Mus musculus: one gene and its partners. The protein of the gene in region 1 binds, or shares a complex with, the protein of each later gene. Links are inferred from orthologs where the notes say so. Each region holds a gene or a part of one and is shown in the gene's direction. Other genes may lie near its edges. The genes, in order: Chtop, Thoc3, Thoc7, Sarnp and Thoc1.

The links.
Region 2: Chtop (region 1) and Thoc3 share a complex: the UniProt entries of both Homo sapiens proteins name them as parts of the transcription/export (TREX) complex. The link is inferred for Mus musculus from reciprocal best matches to the Homo sapiens genes CHTOP and THOC3.
Region 3: Chtop (region 1) and Thoc7 share a complex: the UniProt entries of both Homo sapiens proteins name them as parts of the transcription/export (TREX) complex. The link is inferred for Mus musculus from reciprocal best matches to the Homo sapiens genes CHTOP and THOC7.
Region 4: Chtop (region 1) and Sarnp share a complex: the UniProt entries of both Homo sapiens proteins name them as parts of the transcription/export (TREX) complex. The link is inferred for Mus musculus from reciprocal best matches to the Homo sapiens genes CHTOP and SARNP.
Region 5: Chtop (region 1) and Thoc1 share a complex: the UniProt entries of both Homo sapiens proteins name them as parts of the transcription/export (TREX) complex. The link is inferred for Mus musculus from reciprocal best matches to the Homo sapiens genes CHTOP and THOC1.

The regions. Positions count from the first base shown.
Region 1 is NC_000069.6:90,498,209-90,503,973, reverse strand, and holds the end of Chtop (chromatin target of PRMT1 protein), read left to right. Parts: intron 1-691; coding exon 692-878; intron 879-1,720; coding exon 1,721-1,858; intron 1,859-3,459; exon of another isoform or gene 3,460-3,593; intron 3,594-3,866; coding exon 3,867-4,072; 3' UTR 4,073-5,435; downstream 5,436-5,765. UniProt on the Homo sapiens protein: Plays an important role in the ligand-dependent activation of estrogen receptor target genes. May play a role in the silencing of fetal globin genes.
Region 2 is NC_000079.6:54,465,258-54,471,704, reverse strand, and holds the start of Thoc3 (THO complex subunit 3), read left to right. Parts: upstream 1-2,864; 5' UTR 2,865-2,897; coding exon 2,898-3,164; intron 3,165-3,722; coding exon 3,723-3,879; intron 3,880-5,320; coding exon 5,321-5,525; intron 5,526-6,447. UniProt on the Homo sapiens protein: Component of the THO subcomplex of the TREX complex which is thought to couple mRNA transcription, processing and nuclear export, and which specifically associates with spliced mRNA and not with unspliced pre-mRNA.
Region 3 is NC_000080.6:13,957,336-13,963,683, reverse strand, and holds the start of Thoc7 (THO complex subunit 7 homolog), read left to right. Parts: upstream 1-2,480; coding exon 2,481-2,499; exon of another isoform or gene 2,500-2,620; coding exon of another isoform or gene 2,621-2,816; intron 2,817-3,467; exon of another isoform or gene 3,468-3,618; intron 3,619-6,052; exon of another isoform or gene 6,053-6,224; intron 6,225-6,348. UniProt on the Homo sapiens protein: Component of the THO subcomplex of the TREX complex which is thought to couple mRNA transcription, processing and nuclear export, and which specifically associates with spliced mRNA and not with unspliced pre-mRNA.
Region 4 is NC_000076.6:128,844,848-128,850,612, forward strand, and holds part of Sarnp (SAP domain-containing ribonucleoprotein), read left to right. Parts: intron 1-1,684; coding exon 1,685-1,736; intron 1,737-3,389; coding exon 3,390-3,463; intron 3,464-3,913; coding exon 3,914-3,942; intron 3,943-5,765. UniProt on the Homo sapiens protein: Binds both single-stranded and double-stranded DNA with higher affinity for the single-stranded form. Specifically binds to scaffold/matrix attachment region DNA. Also binds single-stranded RNA. Enhances RNA unwinding activity of DDX39A.
Region 5 is NC_000084.6:9,988,061-9,993,727, forward strand, and holds part of Thoc1 (THO complex subunit 1), read left to right. Parts: intron 1-1,630; coding exon 1,631-1,714; intron 1,715-4,067; coding exon 4,068-4,215; intron 4,216-4,771; coding exon 4,772-4,847; intron 4,848-5,260; coding exon 5,261-5,556; 3' UTR 5,557-5,667. UniProt on the Homo sapiens protein: Component of the THO subcomplex of the TREX complex which is thought to couple mRNA transcription, processing and nuclear export, and which specifically associates with spliced mRNA and not with unspliced pre-mRNA.

The DNA.
Region 1 (5,765 bases):
GCTTTCTATGAAGATAAAATTGAATTGTATGTTTAAGAAGACCATTGTACTGGCTTAAGGAAACTGTTGGCAAGGGGAGATGTGGAATTTACAGAATTTTTAAAAAGTGTAAGGAAAGGAATGTTGACATTTTTGTGTTTATTTGCATCTTAAGGTTTTAAAAAAGGACCGTCTGGAGATAGATACTCAAAGGAAAACCTCAACACACTGGCCTCTTTAACTGAGAAGTCAATCTTGTCCTTTGAGTCTCAAGAATTCAAGTGAACTTGTAATTTAAGTTTACCCAGAATGTGACGCACTTCCTATGGTGTGTGAGTAAGCCTTTGCAAACAGTGTAGTCCATAGGCAGATATGGGTAAAGTCACATCATTGTTAACCTATGGCTCAGAAGCAGCGAGTTTGCAGCTACTGCTGTATTATTTGAATAGCCAAATTAGTAAGGTTATCTGTGCTGGCTCTGCTGTTGTAGACGATATTAAAGCTTCTTAGAGCCTTTATTCTGGCTCAGGATTCTGCTTTTATCCATGTTCTGAGGAAAAGTCTTTGATTTGGGATCCTTACGTTACCCACAACAGGTTTATACCTTCCACCCCGAGTGTCTGACTTGCCTCTTTTTGTCCTGTACTTTAAATTGCCAAATCCCATGGAATTGCTTTGTTGATCTCAATCCTCTTAACACCTTTTCTTTCAGAAGAGCTTAAAGCAGCGCCTGGGTAAGAGTAATATCCAGGCACGGTTAGGCCGACCCATAGGTGCCCTGGCCAGGGGAGCAATTGGAGGAAGAGGCCTACCCATAATCCAGAGAGGCTTGCCCCGAGGAGGACTACGTGGGGGACGTGCTACCAGAACCCTGCTTAGGGGTGGGATGTCGCTCCGAGGTCAGTGTGTCTGTGTAGCTAATAATGGTTGGGCTCTATCCTCCTCCCCTTTTTCTTGGACTGCTTACCGACACATTTGTTTAGCATTTTTAATCCTGAATTTGTATTAATATAATTAATAGCTTTGAAATCATATTTTTAGTACTGCTGCATGTGTTTTACCAATATCATTTCTTTTCTAATGATGTGTAATGGTGAGAGGCTATGACCTGCATAACAACAGGTAATTCATGTCATCTCCATTCCATTTTAAAACACCTGCTGCTGCTTGAATGAAAGCATATTCAAGTTCTAGAAATACATCTAAGAAATGTATGGTTAGCATGTGCGAGGCCCTGGGTTGAATATCCTCAATACCAAGAGAGAAAATATGAGTCTTTTGGCCTGTGTCATGACTAACTGTCTGTCTTCTTGAAGTGAAAAACTATTAATCTGACAGGGGAAAGAGAGGGGACAGTTTGATCCATAGTGCCTACGTATCTGTATCATACCCTTGGGACACTGTTCCCTTTATAAAATTCTTGCCCCCTTAAAAAATGTATTGAAAGCAAGAATCATAGCATTTATTTTCAAATCTACCGTAATGCTAGGCATCTGATTGTTAATTTACTAAACATATGAACTTACTTAAGTCCCAGCTTTTTCCAAAGATAGCTTGTCAGAATTACTAAATTGAATAAAGAGCTGTTTAACCTGTTCACACACGCACTGTGCAGTTTGTCCCACCTAGACTAAAAATTAACTAATTATTCTTATTTAACCCTCACCGCCTTCCTTTGGTTACAATCTACATTGTCTCTCTTGGATTTACCTGCATATACATTGTATGCCTCCTCTCCAAGGTCAAAACCTGCTCCGAGGTGGACGAGCCGTAGCTCCCCGAATGGGCTTAAGAAGAGGTGGTGTTCGAGGTCGTGGAGGTCCTGGGAGAGGGGGCCTAGGGCGTGGAGCTATGGGTCGTGGCGGAATCGGTGGTAGAGGTTAGTCAGCTACCAACTTCAGAGAATAGCTCCCCTTACTTTCCTCCCTTCAAAACTCAGAGCCAACTTTCTGCACAGCTTCAAGTCATAGGCAGGCTTGTTTGTTTGTCTTGTTTGTTTTTTGAAACTGGCTTATTTTCTAAATTCACACAGTGATAAGGAAAGCTCTGTCAGGATTAACAGGTACATTTTCTAGAGCCACATTTCAGGCATTCTTCTACAGGCTCTCAGAAATGTAAGTTGTTGTTATTAAAATGATGCAGTGATTAGTTTGGAATTGTCCCCTTTTTCTGTATCTGCCTGTTGCCACCACCATCACCACCATTACACACCCATCCCATAGCCCAAAGCCAGTTTAACTTTAATAAGAGAAGTGGAATGGAAATAAAGTACAGTATACAGCTCTTACCTAGCATTTGTGAGATCCTGGGTTCAGTCCCACACCATAGAAACAAAAATAAGAGGGAGATATAGGAAAGTGAGGCAAAGATAAAGGAGAATGGTCAGAAGCAGAGGATGTAGCTCAGTGGTACAGCACATGCTTAGCATGCATGAGACTAGATTCAGTCCAGCAGCACTATTAGGTGGTGGGATGAGACCTGGCACCTGTTGTTGGCTTTAAAATCAAGTAAATTTAACATAGCATTTGTGTTTGAGGAACCAAAGACAGTTTTCCTGATCAAGGTTGAAAGTAAGATGTGTTACAACCAGTTGGTCAGCTGTTAGTAATCTTACTTTTGATGCCTTGATTCTTGTCCTGTGACCTCATGGACCAGATTAGAAAAGAGTTTAATGATGGTGGTGTTAGTAACTAATTTCATGGGAGCTTTCTGGCTTATAACTGAGTAAGAAACTCCCAATACATGTTGATAGCATGAAGCATCTTACTCTAGTAAGCACTGTGGATATTTGTTTTCGTTCTTTCTAAAATGTGGGGCAGGTATTCATAATCCACAGTCTTGAAGGTGCTGAATAACAACTTAGGAAATGATATTTGATAACAAAGGTTTATTTTTCCTGCTATTATGTCACTTGACTTATCGAATGAAGTACAAGGTTGAGTTTCAGGATAAGGCTTCCAGATTGTATTGACATCGTTTCTGAGAGAGACTTCACAGGTTAGAAAAAAACTAAATAAAGTCAATTTTGAGAAAGTTAAGTATTTGATTAGTGAATTGAAATTACTTCTCAGATAATAGTTGTCTTAAGGTAACCAGTCAGAGAAGTAGCTAAGTTTTTTCAATCATTGGATACATGGGATCACTTCATTAAACTTAATAAACTTATAAAGCAAATGTGATAACAATCCAGAAAGGTCTCAGTTAAAGCTTAATATGAATACCCTTGATTTTGGGGGGGGGGTGCCCTTTTACTACCTCCTAACTATATGTAATATGTTTTAAATTATGAATTTACAGTAAGTCCCAAACTTTAGATAATTCTTTGGTCTTGGGGGAGGTTAATGTTGTTTAATATTTTTCAGCTAATATTATACACTTGTAATCCCAGCAACTGGGAGGGTCTTGTTTTGTTTTTGAGACTGGGTCTCCTGTAGCCCTGACTGGCCTTGAACTTCTGATCCTTCTGTTTTTGCCTCCCAGATACTAGGATTACAGGTATGCATTTGTGGGGCTAAGGATTGAACCCAGAGCTTCGTGCATACTAGACAAGTACCCTACCAACTGAGCTATACTCCAGCCCAGGAGTGCAAGTCTAAGGCTAGCTGGTCTGCATGGTATGACCCTGTCTCAAAGTGGGAGGGGGCAGGATTTTTTTTCTTATAGTGGCATTTAGAGATGAATACTTAAGAGGACTCATTGTGTGTGCTTTTCATGTGCTGCTTTCTGCCCAGTGTGTTTCTTGTTTTTTCAGATCTCTCCTCTTTGCCCTGTCTTTGAGCTTGTCTCAGCTAGGCCCCACAACTATAAAGGGGCATTTTTTTTTTTAGGACCCATCAAACTAATGTGTAACTGTCTTTTTCTTCTCTCTCTTTCTCTCGTTTGGCCAGGTCGGGGTATGATAGGTCGGGGAAGAGGGGGCTTTGGAGGCAGAGGCCGAGGTCGTGGCCGAGGGAGAGGTGCCCTCACTCGCCCTGTATTGACCAAGGAGCAGCTGGACAACCAATTGGATGCATACATGTCGAAAACTAAAGGACACCTGGATGCTGAATTGGATGCCTACATGGCACAGACAGATCCTGAAACCAATGATTGAAGCCTGCCTGCCTGCCCGCCTGCCTGTTAGACTCTTGTTAAAGTCACCACATCTATAAAACAACCTTGAGAAAACATGAGAAGAAATCTGATCGATGCTGGAAGGACCTGTCACAATAGGCTGTGGACTTACCTGCCACCAGTTGGTGCATTTAGTCTGTTCTGTCTACTTTTTGATACTGTGTTATATGAAACCCTATTTTCCTTTAAATTTGGTTGAGTTTGTTTTGTTGTTTATCCAGTCACCCAGATATCTGTTTGAACAGGAATGCGTTGGCCTTGTGAGTAGAACAGTTTTCTAGCCTCTGCCTGTCATATACTCTTGACATTTTTAAATATTTCCTCTGTTGATTTTTATGATCCCAGAAGGAGCTAGAGTTTTCACTATTGGGTGGTCTTTGGGATAGAGTTCTACATCTTTCTTTAAAAGCTTCTTGTTAATAGCTGGAGCTAAAGGTGTGTTTGCTATGTTGATAGTGAAGGTAGTAAATTGGAAATGTTGGTATTGCTACTGGGCCACAGAATGGGTAACACGTGGTACCAACTTTGATTTGGTCAAAGTTGATGTTGCCTACATTGAAACCACATAGATGGTAGCTGACAAGCTAAGTTGGAATTTCCACCCTAAGAAAAGATTTTTAAGCTTATAAATCTCTCCTTTTGGCTTTCTGTCTCATGCCCAAGAGGCTTCTGCACCTCTCACAGAGAAGAAGCAGCTGTTGGTGTAGCACAAGTGGCAGAAGAGACAAGAGTGGGAAACTGGTAACAAACTGACTGCTGGGAAGGGCTCATGTGCTGCTCGTGCTGAAGTGCAGTTACCTTCCACTTAACTGGCTTTATTTGACCCTCTTGAAGGTTTAAGTTCAACCATATTTTGTCAGCTGTTCAGTTTCAGTGGAATCTTGTATTTCTGATTCATTATAACAAATTGTTCTCTCAAAATTTAACCCAGGCTTTCTGTTTATTTGGGGGGGTCTTAAAATGCTATATAACCATTTTTGTGGTGTGTTAATATGTCCCTTGTATAGTTGAAAATTCCTGGGGTGGAGCCAGGTAAGAGGGTGGTACAAACCATCTGCCACTTGGGAAGCAGAGACAGGTGGGTTCTAAGCCAGCTTGATCTCAGAATTAGTTACAGTTTAGCCAGGGCTACACCAGCCCTGTCTCAAAAAAAAAAAAAGATATTAGGGGTAGAGGAAATGTTGCTTTGTGGTAGAAAAAGCTTGTGTTCCCCTTTAAGCCTTTAGGAAGAATTACCTGCCTAGAAAGTACTAGTAGACTGGACCGTGGTTGTTTAGGAGAAAAGATCACAGGCCTCTTACTGTGCTGTGCATTAAGAGCCAGGAAGAAAATACTGAACAAGATCACCTGACTTTTGAATCCTTACTTGATTGAGGTGGGGAATCTCTGGGACTCAAGGAAGATGGACTCTGGAGTATAGGAAGCTGGTGCTTAAGGGTAGATCTCAGCAAAAGAAAGTGATGACTCTAGACCCTCTTTCTACCTACCTATTAGTACTTTGTAAAAAAGTTCAATTCCCCTACCAGCCCTAAGCCCGTGAGCTTCAGATCCACCTGCTCTGTGTAGTTGTCAGGGTTTCCACCTTTGCTGTCATCTCCTGGTAACGCCTCAGGTGGACCAGGGAGCAAACCTGACTCCTGATCAGCCTCTGAAGCCTACTTGGTTGCCATCTT
Region 2 (6,447 bases), on another chromosome or scaffold:
AACAAAAACAAACAAAATACTTTTCTCTATCAAATATTAGGCCTGTGACTTGGGGAAGGCCATTTTGTCCCTTTCGTCAGTTTCCTTACCTAATATAAGAAGCACAAGTCCTCAGTGTCTGTAAGATATATAGTCACATGAAATATTTGAAAAAGAAGGGAAGGAGGGAAAATGAGATAACACATAGTTTTCTGCCCAAAGACTTTAGTGATTTTATTGACACTTTAGTCCTGTCTAACATCTTTGCAGTTTCTAAAACTTTCTGATTATGACGAGGTAGGAAGGAGAGTGTAGAAGCAGGAGCTATGTGCTTACGTGGCTTCATTTATTATTTAGGATCTATATTTCCTTATATGGATGGTTGCAGATTCTTAGAAACTCCTCTTTAATTGTTTTATAACACTACCCAAAGAAAGTGCACAGTGCATAATGAAGATTGTATAGGGATATTCATTGCAATAATTCATTAAGGAAGCAACTGAATTAAACTATTATACTTCTCCAACTGAGCTATTGTGCAAGACCCCTTCTCAAGGAAAAAAAAGAAAAGAACAAAAATCAATCCCCAACTAGAAGTCTATATATATTTATGAAAGACAGCAAATTATGTAAGGAAGGCTGCATCATCCCATAAACCCTGCAGCGTCTTTGCAAGGTCACACATTTTTTTTTCCTTTTCCTTTTTTTTTTTTTCCTTAAATTTTTATGTGAAGGAGGATTTTTGCATGGGGCCTGGGACGCCAGAAGAAGGCGCTAGATCTCCTGGAACCAGAGTTACCAAGAGTTGTGGGCCACTTTGTGGGTGCCTGGGGAGGGAACAGCAATCCTCTGCTAGGACAGCAAGTGCTCTTAAACAGAGAGCCATCTCTCTATCGATTCTATTTTCCTTAAAAAAAAAAAATTAAAGATACTATTAGCTAGGCATGGTGGAGCACTCTTTTAATCCTAGCACTTGGGAAGCAGAGGCACATGGACCTCAGAGTTCAAGGCCAACCTGGTCTACAGAGGAAGTTCCTGGACAGCCAGGAATACACAGAGAAATCTTGTCGTAAACCCCCCTTCCCCATCAAAAATTATATTTTTTCTTGTGAATATTCATTGTGTAGGGTACTGTTATATAAGGATTTCTTTCTTTCATTTTCTCACATTTTATTTAGTAAATATTGGGTGCCTACTATGTGCAAAATACCAGTGGAGGGGGCCAAGACTGCTGGGTCATAAAAACAATGGAATGACAGATTTCAAGAAATTATATTCAGGTAGGGAGATAGCTATTACTGAAAGTAACAGAAGAGAATATGTAGGGAAAATACACAGGAATTCCAGTCCCAGACAGAGTACAGAACACGGTATTCAGGGATAGACCCATTTAAAATGATTTCATGGATATGCATGTGTGAGTACACGTGTGTATGTGGGGGCCAGAGGACAACACGGAGGTGGTTCTGAGGCACCATCCCTTGTTCTGTTTTGAGAAAGGGTCACTCATTAGCCCGGGACTTGCCAAGGAAGTTAGACAGCTAGCCAGTGAGTCCTAGGGATCTGCCTGTCCCTGTCTCCCCAGTGATGGGGTTATAAGCCTGCGACACCACAGCTGGCTTCATAAGGACATTTTCACACGAATATTTGTTGGATATATTCCTCTGGTGTCCCCTATCCCTGCACAGTTCTTCTCCAGTGCTTGGCGAATCCTGGCTGTGCACCATTGTTTTTTTCCACCCGGGTATCTTTTGGTTTAACAGAGACATAAGTGGGAGGATCAGAGATGTGAGCATGGCACACAAAATGGTCATTGTACTTTCCGCTATTTTCTTTTAGTTTACTATCATGTATATACAATATCCTTTAACAACCAAGATCAAAAGACAGAAAAACGTCTTGGGAGGCAGAGGCAGGCGGATGTCTGTGTGTTCGAGGCCAGCCTGGTCTGTAGAGTGAGTTCCAGGGCAGTCAGGGATACACTGAGAAGCCCTGTCTTCAAAAACTAAAAACAAAAACAAAACCCCCGAACAAACCAAATCTCAAATTAACCGAACAACTTTTCCCAAGTCCAACCGACAAACCCACATTTCTTTTTTCTTTTTTTTTTCTTTTTTTTTTTTTTTTTTTTTTTTTTTTGGTTTTTCGAGACAGGGTTTCTCTGTATAGCCCTGGCTGTCCTGGAGCTCACGTTGTAGACCAGGCTGGCCTCGAACTCAGAAATCCGCCTGCCTCTGCCTCCCGAGTGGTGGGATTAAAGGCGTGCGCCACCACGCCCGGCTCAAACCCACATTTCTTATCAATTCCTTCATTCCACAAACATCTAACCTTTCTCCAGGAGCGACAACTTGCAATGGCCTTTTGCTTTAAGGGCACGATGAGGACCTTACAGTGAAAAACAACTCTAGAAAAAAGATATTTTACATGCAGGTAAACTGGAGGATTTATCTTGACTCTCTTTTTTGAATAAGCAAGGCTACCAAGAAACTGGTAAGAAGACCATTTAAAAAAAAAGTTGAACTCTTGGTGGGGGGTGGGGAGGGGGAGGGAAGCAAGTCGGGCAGTGGTGGCACACGCCTTTAATCCCAGCACTTGGGAGGCAGAGACAGGCAGTTTTCTGAGTTAGAGGCCAGCCTGGTCTAGAGTGAGTTCCAGGACAGCCAGGAAACAAACAAAGAAACCCTGTCTCGAAAACAAAACAAAACAAAACAAACCAAACAAAAAAAAGCGAATTTAAGGAAGAATCAGTCCTATTTCAAAAGGGAAAGGTGGACGCGCGCTGCATGGCGGGATTTGTAGTTCCGCGAGTGAGAGGCGCCAGCGCGGAGCGACGCGGCGCTTTTTCGGCGCATGTGCAGGGCGACGGCGCCAGACTCAGAGTATCCAGCTTCCGGCGCGCGGTCCGTGAGGAGGGAGGCATGGCGGCGCCCGCTGCGGTCCTGGGCCCCTCGGCCCTCGGCCAGAGCGGCCCCGGCTCGATGGCGCCCTGGTGCTCAGTGAGCAGTGGCCCGTCTCGTTACGTGCTCGGGATGCAGGAGCTCTTCCGAGGCCACAGCAAGACGCGCGAATTCCCGGCGCACAGTGCTAAGGTGCACTCGGTCGCCTGGAGCTGCGATGGCCGTCGCTTGGCCTCGGGGTCCTTCGACAAGACTGCCAGCGTGTTCTTGCTGGAGAAGGACCGGCTGGTGAGCTTGTAGGGCACGGGCTTGGCGGAGAAGAGGGCTGTGTGCGGAGGGAGAAAAAGCAGGAGAGGTAGGGGTATGGCCTGTCGTTGGCGGTGATGAGGAAGGGGTTTGGGGCTGGAAGAGTTGGAATGACGAAGGGGGTGAGGCTGCCTGGCGGAGAGCAGAGAGCGAACTTAGTGGCAGTAAAGAGGTGTGGCGACGTGGCTGCGGGCCGGGGGAGGTTGAAGTCAGGTGGCAGAAAGTGGTGAGGGTCTAGAAGAGCCCTGGTGACGAGTGGCTAGGGACTAATGGGGTGGTAGAGCCCCTAGGGTGGAGAGGAAGGCTTTATTTGAAAATGATAGCGCAGGACAGGTTGGTTGAGGTGGTGGTGGAAAAAGAAAGAAGGGAGGCCAGGAAGGGCCAATGTCAAAGCTCAGAGAGGTTCATGGGGGGGGGGGGGAGGGGGTGTTGTAGTTTTGGAAAAAGAATTAGATTTCTGTTTTGAATTATCCAGATCTTTGCTGGTTTCAAGGCACCACTGTTTGGATAAAAGTGGCATCTGGATTCTGTTCTTTTAAGGTCAAAGAAAACAACTACCGGGGCCACGGAGATAGTGTGGACCAGCTTTGTTGGCACCCAAGCAACCCTGACCTCTTTGTCACCGCATCTGGAGATAAAACCATTCGCATCTGGGATGTGAGGACTACAAAATGCATCGCCACTGTGAATACGAAAGGTGAGTTCAGAGAGAGGGGGTTCTGGAGGAAAAGCTAGTGTGATCTGCAGCAAGCATCTTTGTAGCAAGTGCAGGTTATCAGGATGGGTTGTATGTGTCTGTCTGGAGAAGACAGGAACAGAACAGAGCACTTTTCTGGCAGGCTGTAGATGTATAGGAGAGCAGTGGAAACTATACAAGAGTAGTATGTGCAGAGGCGTGGAGAGTTTGGGAGATTCAGGCAGGTTACAATGGCTGAGAAACCATGGGCGATCTGGAAAGTTGTGCGTTTTGTTTAAAGGCTGTGTTCAAAGAAGCAGTGTGGTAGTTTGAGTAGGCTTGGCCCAGGGCATGGCACTATTAGGTGTGGCCTTGTTGGAGGAAGCGTGTCACTGTGGGTGTGGGCTTTAAGACCCTTATCCTGGCTTACCTGGAAGCCATTCTTCTGTATGCCTTTGGATTAAGACGTAGAACTCTTAGCTCCTCCTGCTCCATGTCTGGTTGAATGCTACCATGGTCCCACCTTGATGATACTTGACTGAACCTCTGAACCTGTAAGCCAGCTCCAATTAAATGTTGTTCTTTATAAGAGTTGCCTCGGTCATGGTGTCTCTTCACAGCAGTAAAACCCAAAGTAAGGCAGGCAGTTTTGTTGATTTTAGATTTTTTTTTTAATTTTCATCTGTGTGTGTGTGTGTGTGTGTGTGTACGTGTGTACGTACACGTACCACATGTGTATAGGTGCTGGAAGAAGGCGTCTTGTCCTCTATAAATGTAGTTATAGGTGATTGTGAATTGTGGGTACAGGGAATTGAACTTGGGTCTCCAGGGAAAAAAACCCAAGTGTTCTTAACCACTGAGCCATTTCTAGCCCCACAGGGGAGAAAATGTGTGTGTGTGTGTATACACACACACATACATATATATACATATATATGTACACATATATTTTTGAGGGGGAGACAGGGTTTCTTTGTGTAGCCCTGGCTATCCTAGAACTCACGGTGTAGACTAGGCTAGACTCATGAACTGAGAGATCCACCTGCCTTTGCCTCCCATGTGCTGGGTTTAAAGGCATGTATCATCACCACCAAGCTCCCACAATAGAATTCTTGATACACCTTCTGATAGATTTTTAACTGCACTATAGACAGTAAAGTACAAAAAAAAAAAAAAAAAGGTGTTTTGAAAAAAGGTTTAATGAAGTTGAAAATTTTAACCTGTGTTCAGTGTGGACACGCGTGACTTTGATGAGACTGGTGCCAGGGGTTGGAGTGGGGAGGTGCTTTGACAAATGTCTAGACTCACGGTCGCCTCTTGGTCATCGGAAGCTTCCTTCCATTGATTTGGTGAGGAATAAGTGCTGAAGGTAGCTCTGATCTTCTTTCCAGGAGAGCAGAATAAACTCTGGAGGCCGATGGGCAAAGGTGAGCTTGCTGACGGATTATATCTGGGTTCCCAGGGGAGAACATTAACATCTGTTGGAGTCCCGACGGGCAGACCATCGCTGTGGGCAACAAGGACGACGTTGTGACTTTCATTGACGCCAAGACACACCGCTCCAAAGCGGAGGAGCAGTTCAAGTTTGAGGTCAATGAGATCTCATGGAACAACGACAACAACATGTTCTTCCTGACCAACGGCAATGGTTGCATCAACATCCTCAGGTGAGGCACTGGCCGGGGTTGTCAGACCTCTGCAATGGCCACCCTGCCTTGCAGGGAGGAGTTAACTGTGAGCCTGTCCCAAAAGACTTGAAAGATAGAGAGAGTATTAAAGAAAAAAATCCTACCTTCTTTTAGGCATTCTGGATTTTATGAATTCTTACTGATACTGATTATACATTTTTCTGTTGATCCTGAGGGAACTGAGGCTTGTAAACATTCAATTATTAGTCAGCCAGCCCAGGATACTTTGATGCACCTTGAATTGTGGCTAATTCTCTCTCTAAAAGTTTCAGCTTAAATATCACTTTCCCTCTAGCAAAGTCACTTTATCCTCTCCTCTCCAAGATTAGAGGGTTTTAGTGTATCTTAATGCCCTTCCTATTTCTTTTTTTTTTTTAAATTTTATGTGTATGGGTGTTTTGCCTGCCATGTATGTCTATGCACCATTTGTGTGCTTGCTGACTGGAGTGTCAGGTCTCCTGAACCTGGAGTTAGATACAGCTGTGAGCTGCCATGTGGTTGCTGGGAATCGAACTCTGGTCCTCTGGAGGTGCATCCAGTGCTTTTAACCACAGAGCCATCTCTCCAGCCCCCTTCTTCTTTTTAAATGATTTATTTATTTTATTTAATTTGTGTTCTTTGGTGTTTTGCCTGCGTGTATGTCCGTGTGAGGGTGTCCTGTCCCCTGGAACTAGAATTATAGATGGTTGTGAGCTGCCATGGTTGCTGGGAATCAAACCCGAGTCCTCTGGAAGAGCAGCCAGTGTTCCTAACTGAGTCGTTTCTCCAGCCCCAGGAGGAAGCATTTCTTAATTCTATATTCTAATGTGCACATCATCTCGGTTTCTCATTGCACTAGCAATTTCATGGTGGAGAGGACTGTGTTTGTATTGTTTTCCATTGAATTGCTAATGCCTTCCTA
Region 3 (6,348 bases), on another chromosome or scaffold:
CATTCTGTGTTTCTGCCTCTCAAGATCCATGCTCCCACCCCCAAAAAAGAAAAAGAAGAAGCCTGAGTACAGCAGAGGGCTTGAGTCCACCCCACTTTAACATCAGCCACAGCTTAGCAAATAAAAACATCATTTCTATAAAGTTCATTGCAAGGTGTTCTCTCAACACACATCATATAATAAACACATATCATATAATCAACACATATCATATAATCAACACATATCATATAATAAACAGAATTCTCAGGTGTTCAACTTATACATTCTTGTCTATGCAATAATAAATTCAATTATACGGCTTTAAGAAAACTCCAAAGACTTCCAAAGGCTCAGACATATCCTACTACTTGGTCTCCCATTACCTGAGCCAATAATCTTCAGGAATGTTCAATTTCAAATATACTCCAAGTCTTTTTTAAAAAAAATTTTAGCCCTGCCTAAGAAAACTGTGAGCAACCAAAGAAACTTATGAAAGGGGTCTGTGACAACCTGACATGCTATCTCACAGAAGCTTATAGAAGGCAGTGCTAGTTTCCCATGAAAACATTAACAATTATTTGCTGTCATTACATAACTGTTTCCAAGTCAGCAAGATGCTGATAAAATCAAGAAATGCTCTTACAAAGTATCCTTTCACTACTTGGCAGTTTTCTTGTAAACAAGAAGTCTCCCTAGCAAAGTCTTACCCAGAACACAGAAATGATCAGGTGATGTTCCATTTACAGTGTTTAGAGGTACTTACGAATTAATTGGATTTGGTTTGGTTAGGTTAGGTTTGGTTTGGGATTCTGTTGTTTGGTGCTTGTGGGGGTGGGGGGGCGGGCCGGGGAAGGAGGTCGGTGTGCCTATGTAGCCCAGCTGGCCAAAAATTCAATGTTCAGACCCAGATTAGCTTCAATTCACAAACCTGCCAGCCCAGATAGGCTACCACACACCACCCCGCTGAATTTAAGATTAATATTACCCTCCTTCCTACGCCAAGGAAATGAACATGGTCCAAAGTCCAAGTTAGGAGGAGCCTTTAGACCAGTACTCTTTCAAAAAGTCAGCGAGCAGTTCCACATTTGGAAGAGGTCATTTATGCTTCAAAATCTTCATTCAGGGTAATTTCTGCCTTTGTGACAAAAGTAGATACTGTATTTGACCCATACATAGTTCTGCCTAGAGGTTAAAAACCACCTCCCTTGAATGATCCCAAGTCTTCCGCTAGAAAGAACTGAGGGAACACAGGGCCGATGCATGGATCCCACTTAAGAAATCTCAACAACCAAAAAATGACCCCACACCATTGCCTTATGCAGGATCTGAAGGTTCAAGGGATTGGGATCATGAAAACTGATAAACAAAAACCTGGGTTATAAAGTCAAACTCTACCCTGTTGGAGGTCAAATCAACTCTCAACAGGAACATGGTTCCACTAGGAGAACATTCCTCAATGTTGAATCAAAATGATTTTTTGTTTTGTTTTGTTTTGTTTTGTTTTTTTGTTTTGTTTTGTTTTGTTTTTTGTTTTTCGAGACAGGGTTTCTCTGTGTAGCCCTGGCTGTCCTGGAACTCACTTTGTAGACCAGACTGGCCTCGACTGCCTGCCTCTGCCTTCCAAGTGCTGGGACTAAAGGCGAGCGCATTCACTGCCCGACTCCCCCCCCCCCCCCGGGAGGGGGGTGGTTTATTTCATTTTTCAGAAGAGATGACACTATAACCTGCAGTGTGTTCTAGAAATGTGTACTCCGCACCCCCAAGTAATGTGTTTGCAATGAGCAGCACCCCCACCCCCAACACCTACTTTCAACTTCCCTTTAAGAAGCAGTTTTTGAAAAGCAAAGTTAGTATGAAAATGAAGGCACCCCATCTGGATTCCAGCAGCGAGGGAGAACTGGATGAGAGGTGAGAACCGGAGGGACCTGAGCCCTGGGTCCTGAGTGACGCTCCCCAGACAGGTGACCAAGTTTCTTTCCCCCGCTTCGCCAGCACCCGCCAGAGCTCAGGAAGGGAGGATGGCTTGCCGCGCCCGCCTCAAGAATACGGGTTCGAGACCCACGGCGGCAGTGGCCGCGCCCCCGTCCCACCGGAGCGCACGGTCGGGGCAGCCCGGGACAGAGGTCACCTGGAGCGTCAGGCGCGGAGCCCCGCGAGCGCGCGCAGCCCGAAGCTCACCTGGCGGCTGGCCGCGGCCTCCAGGGCGGCCTGTGGGCGCGGGCAGGGCGGGACGGCGGTGTCCCCGGGCCCAGCCGCCGCCGCCCGCCCTCCCGCCGCCCGTCTCGCCCTTCACCCGCCGGCCGCTCCGCGCCCCAGGAGAGCGGCGAGCGCGGGTCCGCGGCGGCGCGGCGCGCGCGCCGGCGCGACTCAAAAGTCGGAGAGGGCGGCGGGCGCCGCCGCCTCCTCCTCCATGACTGTTTACCCGGCTGCATTGTGGGAGTTTGACCTTCGCCGCCAACCGCCGCCTCAGCTCGGCCGCCGCCGCCGCCGCGCACGCCATGGGAGCCGTGACTGACGGTGAGGCCTCGGCGGGTGCGGGGACGCGGGGCAGCGCCGGGATCCGGGCCGTCTGGGGTGGGGGGCTCCCGGGGCGGTGCGCGGCGGGGAGAGGCGCAGGGCGGCTCGCTCGGCCCGGGCGATGCAGTGCCCCGAGGGGGCCGCCTGGGGGGCTTCCCGGGCCGGGCTGGGTCGGGCCCACGGGCAGCGCGGCGGGCCCCAGGGAGCGCAGGAGCTCGGAGGGCGGTGGAGTGAGGACCCCGAGCTGGGGACGGCGGCTAAGAGGAACAGGGGTGTCTGGAGGGCCGGTCGGGAAGTGTATCTGGGCGACTTACAAGGTAAGGCGCCAGCATGGGAAGAGGCCGGCGGCTTGGACCGCGGCAACAAAAGGAAGGCATGTTGGAGCGGGTGAGTTGTTGGCCTGAGTGGATTAGGAGTGATGGATGGTGGACAGTAGATGTCTGTGGGCTGAGAGCAGAAATAAGAGCGCGTTTGGGAGAAGGATGGACTGACACGATAGGCAACTGGAGCAGGAACTGAGAAGGTACCCGCTTTGGTAGAAAGGTTCCGGTGGCTTGATGTTGTTTGATGGGCTGATCAATAGCTATGGATCCCAGTGGAGAAACAGGGGACTTCCAGAAATGAACAACGATCGGCCCAAATTTGAGGACGGGCCGAGGAAATACCGATGTGGGTATAAATAAAGGCCTCGGAACTTGGTAGGGGGGATTTTAACCTTGGTTTTGTTTTTTTTTAATTCGAGTTTAATTTATTCAGGAAGTACTTAGCTTACTTCTAGGCAATACTTTACTGAACACGTTTGATACCCAGAAGCAGCAGGTAAAGGTGTTTCCTCTTATACGTCTGCAGTGGCTGTAAACATTAAAAATTGGTAGGGTGGCTGTGTGTGTGTGTGTGTGTGTGTGTGTGCGCGCGCGCGCGCCTGCCTGCCTCTCTTTGAGCTGTCTCTGCCTCCCTCCCTCCCCCAGGCAGGCCACCCTACTAGAGTGGCAGTCAGAGGACACTTGCTGAAGTCACTTCTTCACTTCCACCAGATGGGTCCTGGGAATTGAACTGAGGTGGTCTTTCTACTGGTGATTAGAAAACTTGACAAATTTGCTTTCCCCCTTCCTTTGAAGGGTAAATAGGTGTTTTAAAACTGGAATTACAAGTGACCAACCACTTGCCAAAATGATGAAAGAAATTCAAGATGGCATATAGAACTTAGAAAACTTTACACCATGAAATTTCCAAGATCAGGAAAAGCCAGTGAAAGGGTTTTTGTTGTTATTTGGTTTGGTTTTGAGACAAGGTCTTGCCAGGCAGTGGTGGTGCACACCTTTAATCCCAGTACTAGGGATGCAGAGGCAGGCGGATTTCTGAGTTCTAGGCCAGCCTACACAGAGAAACCCTGTTTCAAAAAAACAAAAAGAAAGAAAAAAAAAAGATAGAAAAAAAGAGACAAGGTCTTTCTATGTAGCTCTAGCTGTCCTGGAACTCACAGAGATTCCCCCTGCTTCTGCCTCCTGGGTGCTGGGACAAAAGGCACATGTCACAGCGTCCAGTCATTGAAAGTTTTAAACTGTTACTGTGATGTGATCACATTTGCTTTTATTTAATTAACTGACGCCTTTGTTTGCAATGCTGAGAGTAGAACCCATAGTCCTGTTCATTAGAAAACTGTTTTACATCCTGATCCAAATCTTCAGCACCAGATGTGCGTTTACAATTCACAGACCCATTCTACTCTTTGGAGAATATTGAGGAAATGGGAAGGGGGTTGCAGACATCACTCTCTCTTTCACTAACATTTATATAATATTTTGCAGCATGTGTTGCACAGTGTTCTAGTTATCCCCATTTTATAGATGAATCCAGTACCCAAAGGAATTAAATAACAGAGTTTCAGTGAGTTAAAAACCAACAGAGTCTAGAAGAGTATTCAGTCCTGTGGGGCTGAAGAAGGTGCAGGTAGTAGTGAACTGGTATGTAGGTACTGGGATTGAGCTCAGTCCCCGTGGGAGAACAGCCGGATGCTCTTAACTGCTGAGGCCGATTTCAGCCCAGCTAGCGTGGTCTGATTTTAGCCCCTTCTGTAGTGGGTTAGTGGAAGGTAAGGGGGTCTTTGATCAATATGACAAAACTCCAACTGAGGGAATTCAAAAAGTGAACAGAACTCATAGAGAATGTCAGGACTGCTCAGATGCGGGAGCTCAGAGGTTATCTTAGGTTTCTGACTTGGACGATTCTGTGCCTTGCTCCAAAAGAGGACTGGATTCTGCTGGTGAGAGAAGGAAACTTGAGCCCCTAGTCCTTGGAGGCCAGAGGAAGCCCCACTTTACATTTACAAGCTTCTCCCCTTTGTGGAGGTTACCCAGCTTCTTTGAGACTCAATTTTCTGCATTGATGAAGAAACAATAAAAGCTACCTTGGAGTGGTGTTTTGAAAATGAAATGTAGTAAAAGTTATAAAGGACTTTGTACTGAATCAAATACATACTAAAGTTTAGTAAATATTCCTAAACACAGAAGTTGTTTGCTAACCTCTTTCCACTTCTCTATGTAACCTCTTTCCACTTCTCTATGGAGAAGTGTGTCTCTATTAAGTGCCCCTTCCTTTGCTTTGGGGGAAGAAAATTGAACTGCAGTCAGTTTTAAATAAGCCATCAGCAAATATGAGGTGCAAGGTTCAGGGGAAGGTTAGAGGGAGAGATGCTGGAACATAGATATCAGTAACATGTGTGTCACTATGTGTATATGCATGTTACTAGGGGTTGAACCAAGAGCCCTTTGCATGCTAAGCAAGTAATCTACCACTGAGCTAAGCCACATCCCCAGCACTGGGCATCATAGGTGAGAAAATGGAATGGACTGATAAAGAGCCAGTCAAATTCTACCTCCTCTGAGGTGTATGTCCTTCTAACTAGACACCTCAGTGTGCTGAATGGGTGCTAATTCTACACCAAAAGTGCAAGGCTTCCCATTCTCAGAATTCACTCACATCTTGTGTACAAATTGCTCACACCTTTTGTACGAGTAATTGTTGCTGTGATAATGAAAATAAGTGCTAGTCTTTGTTAGTGTTTAATTGAGTTGATCTTAATTTAATTGATCTTTAGAAGACCTCTGTAGGCATCAAACCCAATTACAAAATAGTGCAGTCAGTCTGGGTGTGGTGACTCACGCCTCCTATCCCAGCACTCCAGACGTAAAGGCTGAATGGTGTCTGTGAGTTCAAGGGCCACCAAGACGACACAGAGAGACTCTGGTCAGTCAGTCATGGTACCTCAGCCCTGTAACAGCCATTAGGAGACTAAGGCAGAGCCAGGATAGTCCGAGCTACCAGAGGAGGTTAAGTTGGTTGGGGCTATTGATTTGGTTTATTTGACTTGTGCACATTTTGCAAAACCTTTATAAATAGTAATACTACATTCTTATGTAATGATGCACAGAACTTAAAGTGTACAGCTGGCATGGTCACAAAGCATAGTTTAAATATTTTTAGTTACCAGACTTAATATTGGAGGTATTTAGTCCCTCTCTGTTTCCTTCTGCATTTATGTTTGACATCCCAGGTGGGTGATGAGAACTGGACTCGGGTCCTCAGGAAGAGCAGTGAGCATTCTTAACCACTGAACTGTCTCCAGCCCAAGGTGTGCCTTTCCTTCCAGCACTTGACAGACCGAAGCAGACAACTTCTGGGAGTTTGAAGCCAGCAAATTTCAGGGCAAGACCTTGTCCCAAAATGTGTGTGTGACAGAAGTGTGTGTGAGAGTGTGTGTGTGTGTACTCAGAAATTCTGCATTTTAATCTCTTTAAGGACTATGTCTTATTTACCTTGATCTCTTCAAGTTGTTTGGTAATTAAAGCT
Region 4 (5,765 bases), on another chromosome or scaffold:
TGGAATTTAAAAGGTGTGTGCCACCAAACCTAGCTTTTGCCCCTGTCTTAGGAAAAAAGAAGTAAAAGTTTATGTTTTACTTGAAGTCCAATTTCATTAAAAACAGTTTTACTGGGCCTGGTGGATCAGGCCTGTTTGGTTTGTCTCACGACAAGGTTTGTGAGACAGCCTGGCTGTTCTGGGGCTTGCTCTGTAGACAAGGCTGTCCTTGCCTCTGCCTCCTGAGCACTGGTATTTGTTTTTTGAGGCAGGGTCTCTGTAGCCCTGGCTGTTCTGGAATTTAGTATATAGATCAGTCTTGCCTTGAACTCACAGATAACCTCTTGTCTCTGCCTCTCAAATATAGGACTTAAATGTGAGTGCTACCATGTCTGGCAGTGCCCATTCTTTTAATCCCAACACTTAGGAAGCAGAGGCAAGTAGAGTTCAAGGCCATCTGTTCTATATAGGAATTTACAGGCCTGCCAGGGTTATAAGGTGACACCCAGCATTAAAAAGATAAAAAAGGTAGGGGATTGTATAGTAGTGCACACCTGTAATCTCAGCATTAGAGAAGTGGAGGAAGGAGAGTTAGGAGTTTGAAGATAGCTTTGGCTGAATGAAAGGGGCCATGTTTCAGACAACAGCAATAAAAAAAAATGGAGAGTTAGCAAACAGTCTGAATATTCCAAGGCTGATTAGAATCCCTTGTATATCCAAAAGGAAATCTCTTTACATCATCTTACGCCTGAAGTTATGTGTAAATATACTTCTCTATCTTGTTTTAAGTTTTTTTTTCTCCTGAGCCAAAACAAATATTGTAGGACTTCCTTATGGTCAGCAGGGGGCATTCTTTGCTTGCCTGTTAGTCTAAGGACTTCCAACAAAAAGATGGAGGAGAATCAGGTTCCAGAATTGCTTCCTCTGAAAATGTCATTAAACCATTACTACCTTTCAGGGCATCAAATGGGAAAAGTGTTTGGGATATTGGAACAAAAGCTGCCCATGTCTCTAAATAAGGGACCTTAATGAGACTGGTTATGACCCGCAGTTTTATGGGAGTTGTTTGTTGGAGAGTTAATGCCCTTCCATTTATCCTGGGGACTTCCGAACTTTGTCTCCTGCCCCTGCGGTCCCCCTCTTTTGTTTTCTCTTAAGCCTTTTGACCAGTAACTCGCCATGTTTTCCTAATTCAGCCTTTCTTCTCCCACCCACTTCCTGTGGCATTTTTATTTGTTCTGCTTTGACGGTTTCAGCTAGAGCTACAATCCCACGGGAGCAATAGGGACTTATAAAAGAAGGAAATCAGGGCTGGTTCAGCGCTAGTTAAATATTGTGATAAAAATTGAGTTTGTATATAATTGGAGGTTGGAGATACAGTTCTTAGTTCAAAAGTAACTATAAAGTGTCTAAAAGCAAATGAAATGACTTATGTGTGTGTCCCTTCATCCCTGTATTTTTAGCCTGACTTCTTTGCTGATTATGGTCTCGAACTTCAGTTAAAATAACTTAGTTTTATTTTAATTTTTCTTCTCAGTTGATGACAGTTCAAGGAGTCAGACTTGTTATGGACTTCATGTTTCTTTGGATTAAGGGGTGGTAGACACATGTGGGGCAGAGGATATAACTCAGGTGATTCTTGCACATTTCTAATGCTTTGGGTTAAGATAGCAGTTTTCTGACTTTTAAAAATCTGTCTTCTTAGGGCATCGGAAAAGAAGGTGGTAAAGATTACATCTGGGATACCTCAGACTGAAGTAAGTATTCTTTTTTAAATTTTAATTGAGGTGTGGGTGGGGCTGTGAATGCATAAATGCCATGGTATATGTGTGGATAGAGGACTGCCTTCACTTTGTTGAGGTAGAGGTCTCTCCTTTAAAAACATTTTTTAAAATTACATTTTATTTATATATGGGGGAGCCGTGTTTGTGTGCGAGTGCGCTTGTGTAGGTCAGAGGACAACTTGGGGGAATTGGTTTTTCTTCTAGCATGTGCGTTGCAGAGATAAAACTTAGGTTGTCTGGCTTGGCATTAAAGAACATTACTCACTGAACTATCTTGCTGAACTTAGTCAGGACTCTTGTTTCCAGTGCTGTGATGTGTACACCAGGCTAGCTGGCCCATGAGCTTCCAGAAGATGACAACCTCCCATCTTGCCACAGGAAAACTTGGTTTATAGCTGTATACTAGCACATTCTGCCTTTACATGGGCTCCTGTTATCAGACTTGCACAGCCTGCACTTTCAACTACTGAGTTCTCATTTTTATATTTATTTTTTGTTCCTTAGAATAGCAATTTACTTTGTAGCTCAGGTTGGCCCCAAACAAAATCTTTGTACTTCAGCATCTCGGGTGTTAGGATTCTAGGTATGTGCCACCATGCCTGGCTGTTCCTGTTTTTAACCTTTTCTCTGTCATCATCATTATGTAAAATTTTCATTTAGGGCTGTTAAGTTGGCACTCTGGGTAAAGATCTCTGTGGCTAAAGCCTGAGTTTGATCCATGTAAATAATTTATTCATAGACAAATTATTTAAGGGAATTAGGGGAATATTGACAATTGATGTTTCTTTCTCCACCAACTCAGGAAAATATTTGGACTGGCATAGTGAGTTGTTATCTTTAAGCTGTCATAGATTACATATACCACTGTAGCCTTAATAGTAACTTAATAAGTCTATAGGTATAGGATTAGAGTTTGAGAGGATTGTGTGTACTTTGGAAAAATAGCAATGGCAGATACTCCTTTAAGTTGTTAGTTGTTAGCTGGTGAGAGTGAAATTTCTTTGGATTCTATCTCAAGATGTTTGAAATCAGGTTTCATTTGAGATCTTGTGTTCAGTTTTGTACTTTCAAGGTAGAGGGGTTGTTGTTGTTTTTATACAGGGTTTCTCTGTGTAGCTCTGGCTGTTCTGGAACTCACTGTGTAGACCAGGCTGGCCTCGAACTCAGAGATCCACCAGCTTCTGCTTTTTGAATGCTGGGAGTGTACCTCTATGCCTGGCTTATAGTTGAGATTTATTCACTTCTTTTAGAATTCAGGCAGGAAGTGATGGTGGTGGTGGTGGTGGTGGTGGTGTTTTTAGATTACCTGTACTGGAACCAATATGCTCCTTTGATATACTATCCCCCCCCAAGATACACTTTTTCAAACAAGATAGAACTTTTGGGGTTTGTGTAGAATATGGATTTTATTCTTTTTGTTTTTGAGAATGTGAATACGGGGAGAGAGAGAGATTAATTGATTGATTGCTTTCTAGAAACAATTGTTGTGTTAAGCCTTAGAATGGCTGCTACCTGATATGGTCTAAAGTTGTCAGTATTTCCGTTAGATCTTAAGAAATGACCATAACCAATTTTTTTTTTAAACAAGAAATTACAGTTTTAATTTTTTCATTTAATATCACTTAGAGAATGCAGAAGAGGGCTGAACGATTCAATGTACCTGTAAGCCTGGAGAGTAAGAAGGCTGCCCGGGCGGCTAGGTGAGTGCTTCTACCTGTTTGGATACAAGATAGAAATGTTATGGTGGTGTAGGGGGTCAGATCTTTGTTTCTTGTTATAGTTGTTGGTTTTCAGTAGAAGTGTTTTCATTGAACTTAATGAATACAGTTTGGGTCATACTCAGGACATTTCTGCTGATTTGGATGTTATAGCTTTCACTGAGTTTTGCCATCTTTGGTCAGGGTTTTTATGATAGGTAAAAGTCAGGAACTGGCAGCTGCTCCTGAGTCTGAAGAGTTCGTTTAGTGGACTCCTGGACTGTTGGTGAGAAGGAGAGTAAACTGAACCTCTTTCATGGGGTTGTTAGAATTAGCTAATGATTGCAAAGTTTGAGATCACAAGAAAGAAGTGTCATGCACCCTTGACACGGACACAGACAACTAAGGGTGTGAACAGCTTCCTAAAATTTAGCTTGTTTTTTCTTCTTACAGGTTTGGAATTTCTTCAGTTCCAACAAAAGGTGAGAATACAGAGGTTCTTCTGAGAAAGTTTACTTTGGGTTTTTTTCTGACTATAGATTTCATTCCTCCAAATTAGATAACTTTGTTGGCTCTAGAAGCCCTTAAGAGGCTCTGCATTTGTACCCTTCAGACCTCATGAATAATCGAGAGAACGTCCTGAAGTTATGGGGAGGAGATCGCACCATTGGGTTTCTTTTTTAGGACTTCTGAGAAATCTTTAGTACCTTGTTCATTTATTTTTGTGTCTTACTAGCATAAAACTATGTGTACTTTTTTAGTGCTCTGAGCTAACATAGTATTAAAGTGAAGGAGACTGTATTTAACTTCACAATTTTGTTTTTAAGAATTTATCAAGAAGTAACCTCTGATATACTTAAAGACTTAGCCATGAGGCTTGTGTTACCACCATATATATTGATCAGTAAATTGGAAAAAAAAACATGTATCCAATACAGTATTAACTGGTTAAGTGTAAACTGTAGTATATTAGACTATGTAGAATGTTAAAAACGATATGTTAAGGGCTGTGGAGATAGCTCAATGGGTAAAGTGCTTGAAAAGAATTTGATCCCCAGAACTCACATTTAAAAAAAGAAATAAAAAAGCAGGCTATGTAATGCGTGCTTATAATCCTAGTGGTTGGCAGGCAGAGGCGGGTCGGGTACCTGGGCTCTGGCTGGTCGTCCTGACTAATTGGTGAATGTTAGGCTAATGAGAGACCTCTCTCAATAGAACAAAACAAAGTAAACAGATCCTGGGGAACCATACCTGAGGTTGTCCTCTGGTTTCCACATGTACACATAAAATACAGTACTTTAAGATAGGGTATAGCAGTGTGTTCCTGCATTTGGGAGACAAAGGCAAGAGAATGGCCATTTGAAATCCAGCCTCAGCTATATATTAAAAACTATCTCAAAACAAGAGCTAGGATGGTGGTGGTGCACACCTTTAATTCCAGCACTTGGGAGGCAGAGGCAGGCTCAAGGCCAGCCTGGTCTACAGAGTGAGTTCCAGGACAGCCAGGGCTATACAGAGAAACCCTGTCTTGAGGAAGAGGAAAAAAAAAGGGCCTAGTGGCTGGATCTGTACCTCAGTTTATAGTGTTCTTGCCTAGCATGCAAGAGAAATGAACAAAGGATTTGGGGTTCAAGGTCATCCTCCGATGCGCGCATGCTATATTAGTTACTTTGTTATTGACCTGATAAAATACATGACGGAAGGCAACTGGAGTCAGAGAGAATTTATTTTGGCTTATGGTTCCAGAGGGTTGAGAGTTTATGGTGGTGGAGCAGAGGCAGGGCACCAGGCACCAGGCATGGTGGCAGGAACAGAAAGCTGTGAGCTCGTATCTTGAAACATAGGCATGGAGCTCAGAGAGTGAACTGGAGGTAGACTGGGCTTTCTTTTTCTCCAAGCCCACACTCAGTGATACTTCTGTAGTAAGGCCACATTTCTGAACCTCTTAAAACACCAACGACTTGGGCATGCCCAAGATTATGGGGGACATTTTTCATTCAAGCTGATGTTTGTCTCCATTTATGACTTAGCTTCACACAAATGGAAGCATGTGTGTGATCTGTTATCTTTTGTAATTAGCTTTTCACTTAGTGTAAAATTTCACCTTGAACCACAGGGTGACCTCAGACTTGCTGTGCAACGTTTTTTGGCCGGTTCCTCAGATTTACAATCTTCCCAAATGCTAAAATAACAGGCCTGCACCTCCAGGCCTGCTCTGTGGTCACGTCTGTTTGTGTATTAGTGCTGTGTCACTGAGCATGATCCTCAGCCTAGCATGTTTCCAGCATTGATAATAAAGTCCCAT
Region 5 (5,667 bases), on another chromosome or scaffold:
GTTTTCCCGAGAAACAAGAACATGTCATGCAGCTGACATTTCTAGTACCAGCAGCAATTGGGAACCCAAGGCTAAAATTGTCAGCTAGGAAATCCTAGGCTGGTGGTAAACTCTCTGAAGGTCAGACCTTCAGATGGAGCTATTAACAGGAAAAAGCCTAAAAAATATCCAGCTGGGCGTGGTAGCGCACGCCTTTAATCCCAGCACTAGGGAGGCAAAGGCAGGCGGACTTCTGAGTAGGAGGCCAGCCTGGTCTACAAAGTGAGTTCCAGGACAGTCAGAGCTACACAAAGAAACCCTGTCTCGAAAACAACAACAACAAAAAACAAAACAAACAAACAAAAAAACCCATCCAAATTTACTGTCAAGGGAACAATCTACCATGAGTTTCATAAAGAATCTAGAGAGAGATGGCTCAGTGGTTAATAATGCTGGCTATTCTTCCAGAGGACCCAAGTTCTATTCCTAGCACTCCTTCTCTCCAGTCCTAGGGGATCCAACACCCTCTTCTGGCTTCCATGGGCACCAAGGACACACACAAGTGGTACACAGATGGACATGAAGACAAAATACTCATACTCATAAATTAGTAGATAAAACTAGAATCAGATAAAGGCTGTAAAATAAAGAAGTAGCAGTTAAAACAAGAAAAACTTAGCACTGTCAAAAAGGACCAGATAGTTGGGTATGGTGGCTCGTTACTGTAATCCCATCAGCTGGGAGACGTAAGAGACAATACAACACAAAGCTGAGCAAAAGCCCAGCAGAGAGAGCACACGAATGTGAAAGAAGCTCTTCTTAAGATCAGGACTAAATAGGCTTAATTCGTAAATTCTTTGGCTTAAGATATCTGGGCTTTAGCATTAAATAGATAAGCCAGACCTGTCTATGTGAAAAATGAAGGGTGAGTGAAAAGAGAAAACAAAAGTAAAATTAAACTAACAGCAGACTTCAATAACAAAATCAGAAGACAGGAATAAGAGCCTCAAAGAGTTGTAAAGACAGAGTATGTAATCTCTAAAATAAATGAGGAGTGCAAAGGTACATAGGGAGGGAGGGAGGGAGTGGGGAGGAAGGGAGGAAGGAGAGAGGGGAGAAAGGAAGGAAGGAAAAGAAGAAAGAGAGAGGAAGGAAGGAAGAAGGTAGGAAGGAAGGAAAAGAAAAAGAGAGAGAGAGAGAGAAAGGACCAAAGGTACACAGAGAATTAAATTCAAATGAACAAAAATCAGGCATTCTGGTGTGAAGAAAGATTGATAGGTATTTTAAATTTTTACCTACATATTGATTATAAAACACCATAAAGACAAAGATATGACCATGTTGAAACTAAAAGAATAAAGGTATGATAGGCAGAGCTTATCAGATCAGACAGAAGTCTTCAAAAATGAATAGTACAGTCTATCACAGTGCATGGTTTGATGAAATATGGAGTGAATCGTTTTTAGACCTATACCTTCTTTATTGTCCCATTTTAGAATTGAGCTTTCAGTCTTTATGTTCTCAAAGAGATCTAGAGTCCCTGCATTTAGGTCTTAGATGTAATTATCACATGTGGATGCTGTTAAAATTAATATTGCCACCATTTTAGAGTACTACACATAAACCTCACTGTTTACTTTACAATGACCAGAGAATACATGCCAACTTTGGAGGAGTTCTTTGAAGAAGCTATTGAACAAGCAGATCCTGAAAACATGGTTGAAAGTGAATATAAGTAAGTAATGGTATACTGAAATGATGCTAATTTCAGCATGTTTTCTTGGGAATCCTCTGAATGCTACAGTTAAGTCAGCAAAGTAGTGCTTTTAGATGAGTTTATGCATGCAGTTCACATTACTATAACATCCTTATTTCCATGTCAATTCCAAAACATGACAGAATAACCCCTCAGCCCTCACCCCATACCTCCTTCTGACCTTCACCTCTACTGTTTATTCTCCACAAGTCTTTTCTGCTAGCCAATTTAGGTTTTGACCTCGTTTCCTCACCAGCCTCCCATTCTGGTCAGCCCACCCACTTGAGACTGTGTTCCCTATCACTCCAGTATTCTTTTTTTTTTAAGGTCCCAACAGCATCTGTCAATAGACCTGTCTCAATTTTGGTGGAACCACTCACCATCACCTTGCTGCCCCCTCCACCTGCCTCCACACCTGCTGTCTTACTCTAAATTCCTGCAGTAACTTTTAAGATTCAGTCTTTTCTCTAAAGTGTCCCATGTGACAGCAGTTTTAGTTTTTAGGAAGCTGTTCTGGAATTGTGATTTAAAGGCAGGGGCCCTCTTGTCAAAATGCATAGGTTCTCTTCCCGTGTACCACTACTGGCCAGGCTCTAACAAATAAGCCCTGTGCCACTTTTCTCGTTTGCTACATGGTAACCACTCATTTCACATTCTGAAGATTAAATAACTGATTTTGATCCATGCATAGCATGTAGTTAGTACATGACATAGCTAGCTTTGACCCTGTGGTAAGTTTTTACATACTCCAACCTCTTAATTTTGTGTTCTATTCTCCTTGCACCAGAGTGATCTTTATGGGCTGGAGAAATGACTCAGGTTAAGAACACTAACTGCTCTTCCAGAAGATCCAGGTTTCATCCCCAGCACCCACATGGTGGCTAACCATCCAGTTCCAGAGGATGTAATGTGCTCTTCTGGCCTTCTTTAGCACTGCATGCATATGACACAGTCATGCAGGCAAAACAATACACAATTGAATTTTTTTTTTAATTTTATTTATTTCTTATTAGATATTTTCTTTATATACATTTCAAATGCTTTCCCTATATCCCCTTCTCCCCTGCCCTGCTCCCCTACCCACCCGCTCCCACTTCTTGGCCCTGGCATTCCCCTGTACTGGGGAATATAAAGTTTGCAATGCAAAGGGGCCTCTCTTCCCAGTGATGGCCGACTAGTAATCTAAAATAGATATACACACCTTTAATCCCAGTGCCGGTGATTTCTTTGCCTGGTCTATACAGTAAGAACCTGCCTAAGCCGGTGATGGCGCACGACTTTAATCCCAGCACTTGGGAGGCAGAGGCAGGTGGATTTCTGAGTTCGAGGTCAGCCTGGTCTACAAAGTGAGTTCCAGGACAGCCAGAACTGTACAGAGACACTCTGTCTCAAAAAAAAACAAACAAAACAAAAAGAACCTGCCTAAAATAAATACACATGTGCATGCATGCACAGCAGCAGGCTTGGTTAGCACAGACCTTATAATCCTAGCACCCAGGAAGCTGAAGATTAAGTTTGAGGTTAGTGTGGCTTACAAAGTCTATCAGTATAATAATAACAAAGTAAGATATGCCCAAGTCTCATCTCATGCTTAAAATCTTTCTCATACTTAAAGTTAACTGTTTATACACCACTAAATAAATCAGATTGCAAGTCTGTATTTGGGGTTCCCGAGGTGGGCAAATCCTAAAAAGTCCTAAGTGGAATCCATTTGTACTTGCTGCAGTTCTGTCATTGGTGGTGGTGGGAGTGGGGTGTTTAAGATTTCTCATGGGTCCCTTGTTTCTCGGTTTCCCATTCTATTCTTGACATCAGTATGTCATTACTGCGGCCACTGGATATTTACTGCTTTAGCATTCTGAGCCATTTTTTAATTCATTGAGGTTGATGTTAATATGAATTAAAGATTAGCCATTATATAATACAACTCTTAAATACAGGTCCCTATTACAAAATACTTGAAGCCCTAAGTGTTCTTTTTCCAGATTTGTAACATTTTAGACTTTAGCAAGTAAGACAAATTAGATTTTGAAACATTTAGGCTTTAGATTAAACACGCATCTATAGGTAACATTACAGATAATGGATACAATTATCTTTTTCTTTTCTTTATAACTGGGTGGTTTCTATGCATAGTGTCTAGTAGCCAGGACTAGGGACATAAGACCATTGACTTGCTAAAATAAAGCAAAATATATACTTTCAAATTATAAGATGGTATACTTTGAGCTGTTATTTGCAAGAGAGCATAAAATTTTGTGACACTTGTTACATGAAAATAACTATGGAACTGAGTAACTATAAATTACAAGGCTGACATCTCTTCTTATAGAGCCGTAAATAATTCAAATTATGGATGGAGAGCTCTTAGACTCTTAGCCCGGAGAAGCCCTCACTTCTTTCAGCCAACCAACCAGCAGTTTAAGAGTCTACCAGAGTATCTGGAAAACATGGTGATAAAGCTGGCCAAGGAACTACCAGTAAGTGATGCACTTCATTGTTCCCGTTACCCTAGTAGACATGATCTGCTTTAAAACTATTATTATTTGAGCAGAATTCACTTTAGCTTTTCTCACAAAAATAGTAATCTGCAGACCATCATGTTTTAGAATGGGGGTGAGGATGTTGTTGAATATATTTACAGAGAAAATGTAAAACTAAGAGTAAGAGATACTGGTAATTTTCTGTGCAGCATGCAATTTACCCAAAGTGTTAAAATTACTATCTTCAGTAAACTAGATCAGATTTTCCACATTGCCAATGTGTTTTACTGTCTTTTGTCAAAAGCAGGGTCTAAGAGTGGCAGTAGCTCACCTGGCAGAGCCCCTTCTACTCTGCTCTCTTCCACTGTTGTAACAGTATGGTAATGATGGGCATTATCAGTTTTCTGTCGCCCCTTAGACAGTACTGCCTAAAGCTTAGGTATTTGCAAACCTGCCTATGCTTCTCAATCTTCTTTCTACCCAAAGTCGTACACCTTAGCTATCTTCAGAAACTGGTGTCCTTTTAAACATCACTGTTCTTCATTTACTATAGCCCCCTTCTGAAGAAATAAAGACAGGTGAGGATGAAGACGAGGAAGATAATGATGCTTTACTAAAGGAAAATGAAAGTAAGAACTGAATTTTCTTGGCTTTTTTACAAAATTGGAAAAGGCTGGGGGATCTTTGTTGAGCTAATTTGATCTACTTCTCAGTTCTACCATTTTATCTCTATCTTTTGACTTAAAATATGAAATTTAAAACACTAGTCACTTAAAACACATTTTATAGATGAAATGTGGAAATGATAATTTTAAGAGGTAAAGAAGAAAGGTGTTTTACAGCAGAGCTTAAACTCTAACTAGTGGGAATTGGAGCATCTCCTCTACAAGAAAGTGTTTCTAATTAAAATAGCTTTGAGTGTATACGCCTATGGAAAATTTTCAAGTTTTAAAGTAAAGTTTTAGGGGACTAGTAACCCAGTGGTCATTTCAGCTTTGCAGTTATTTCAGATACTTTAATTGCACATCTCTATATTTTCTAGGTCCAGATGTTCGGCGAGATAAACCTATAACAGGGGAGCAGATAGAGTCATTTGCCAACAAACTTGGTGAGCAGTGGAAGATTTTGGCTCCTTACCTGGAAATTAAAGACTCTGATATTAGGCAGATTGAGTGTGACAGTGAAGACATGAAGATGAGAGCCAAGCAGCTCCTTGTTGCCTGGCAAGATCAAGAAGGAGTTCATGCAACAACTGATAACCTGATTAGTGCACTAAACAAGTCTGGATTAAGTGACCTTGCAGAAAGTCTAACTAATGACACTGAAACAAACAGTTAGCTTTCTTCCTTTCTTTTCTTTTTTATTAAACAGTGATAAGATTTTGTTACCAAGCAGCATTTGATAAAAGGTTCACTGGTTTTGGTAAACAATAAACACTTTTATAACAGC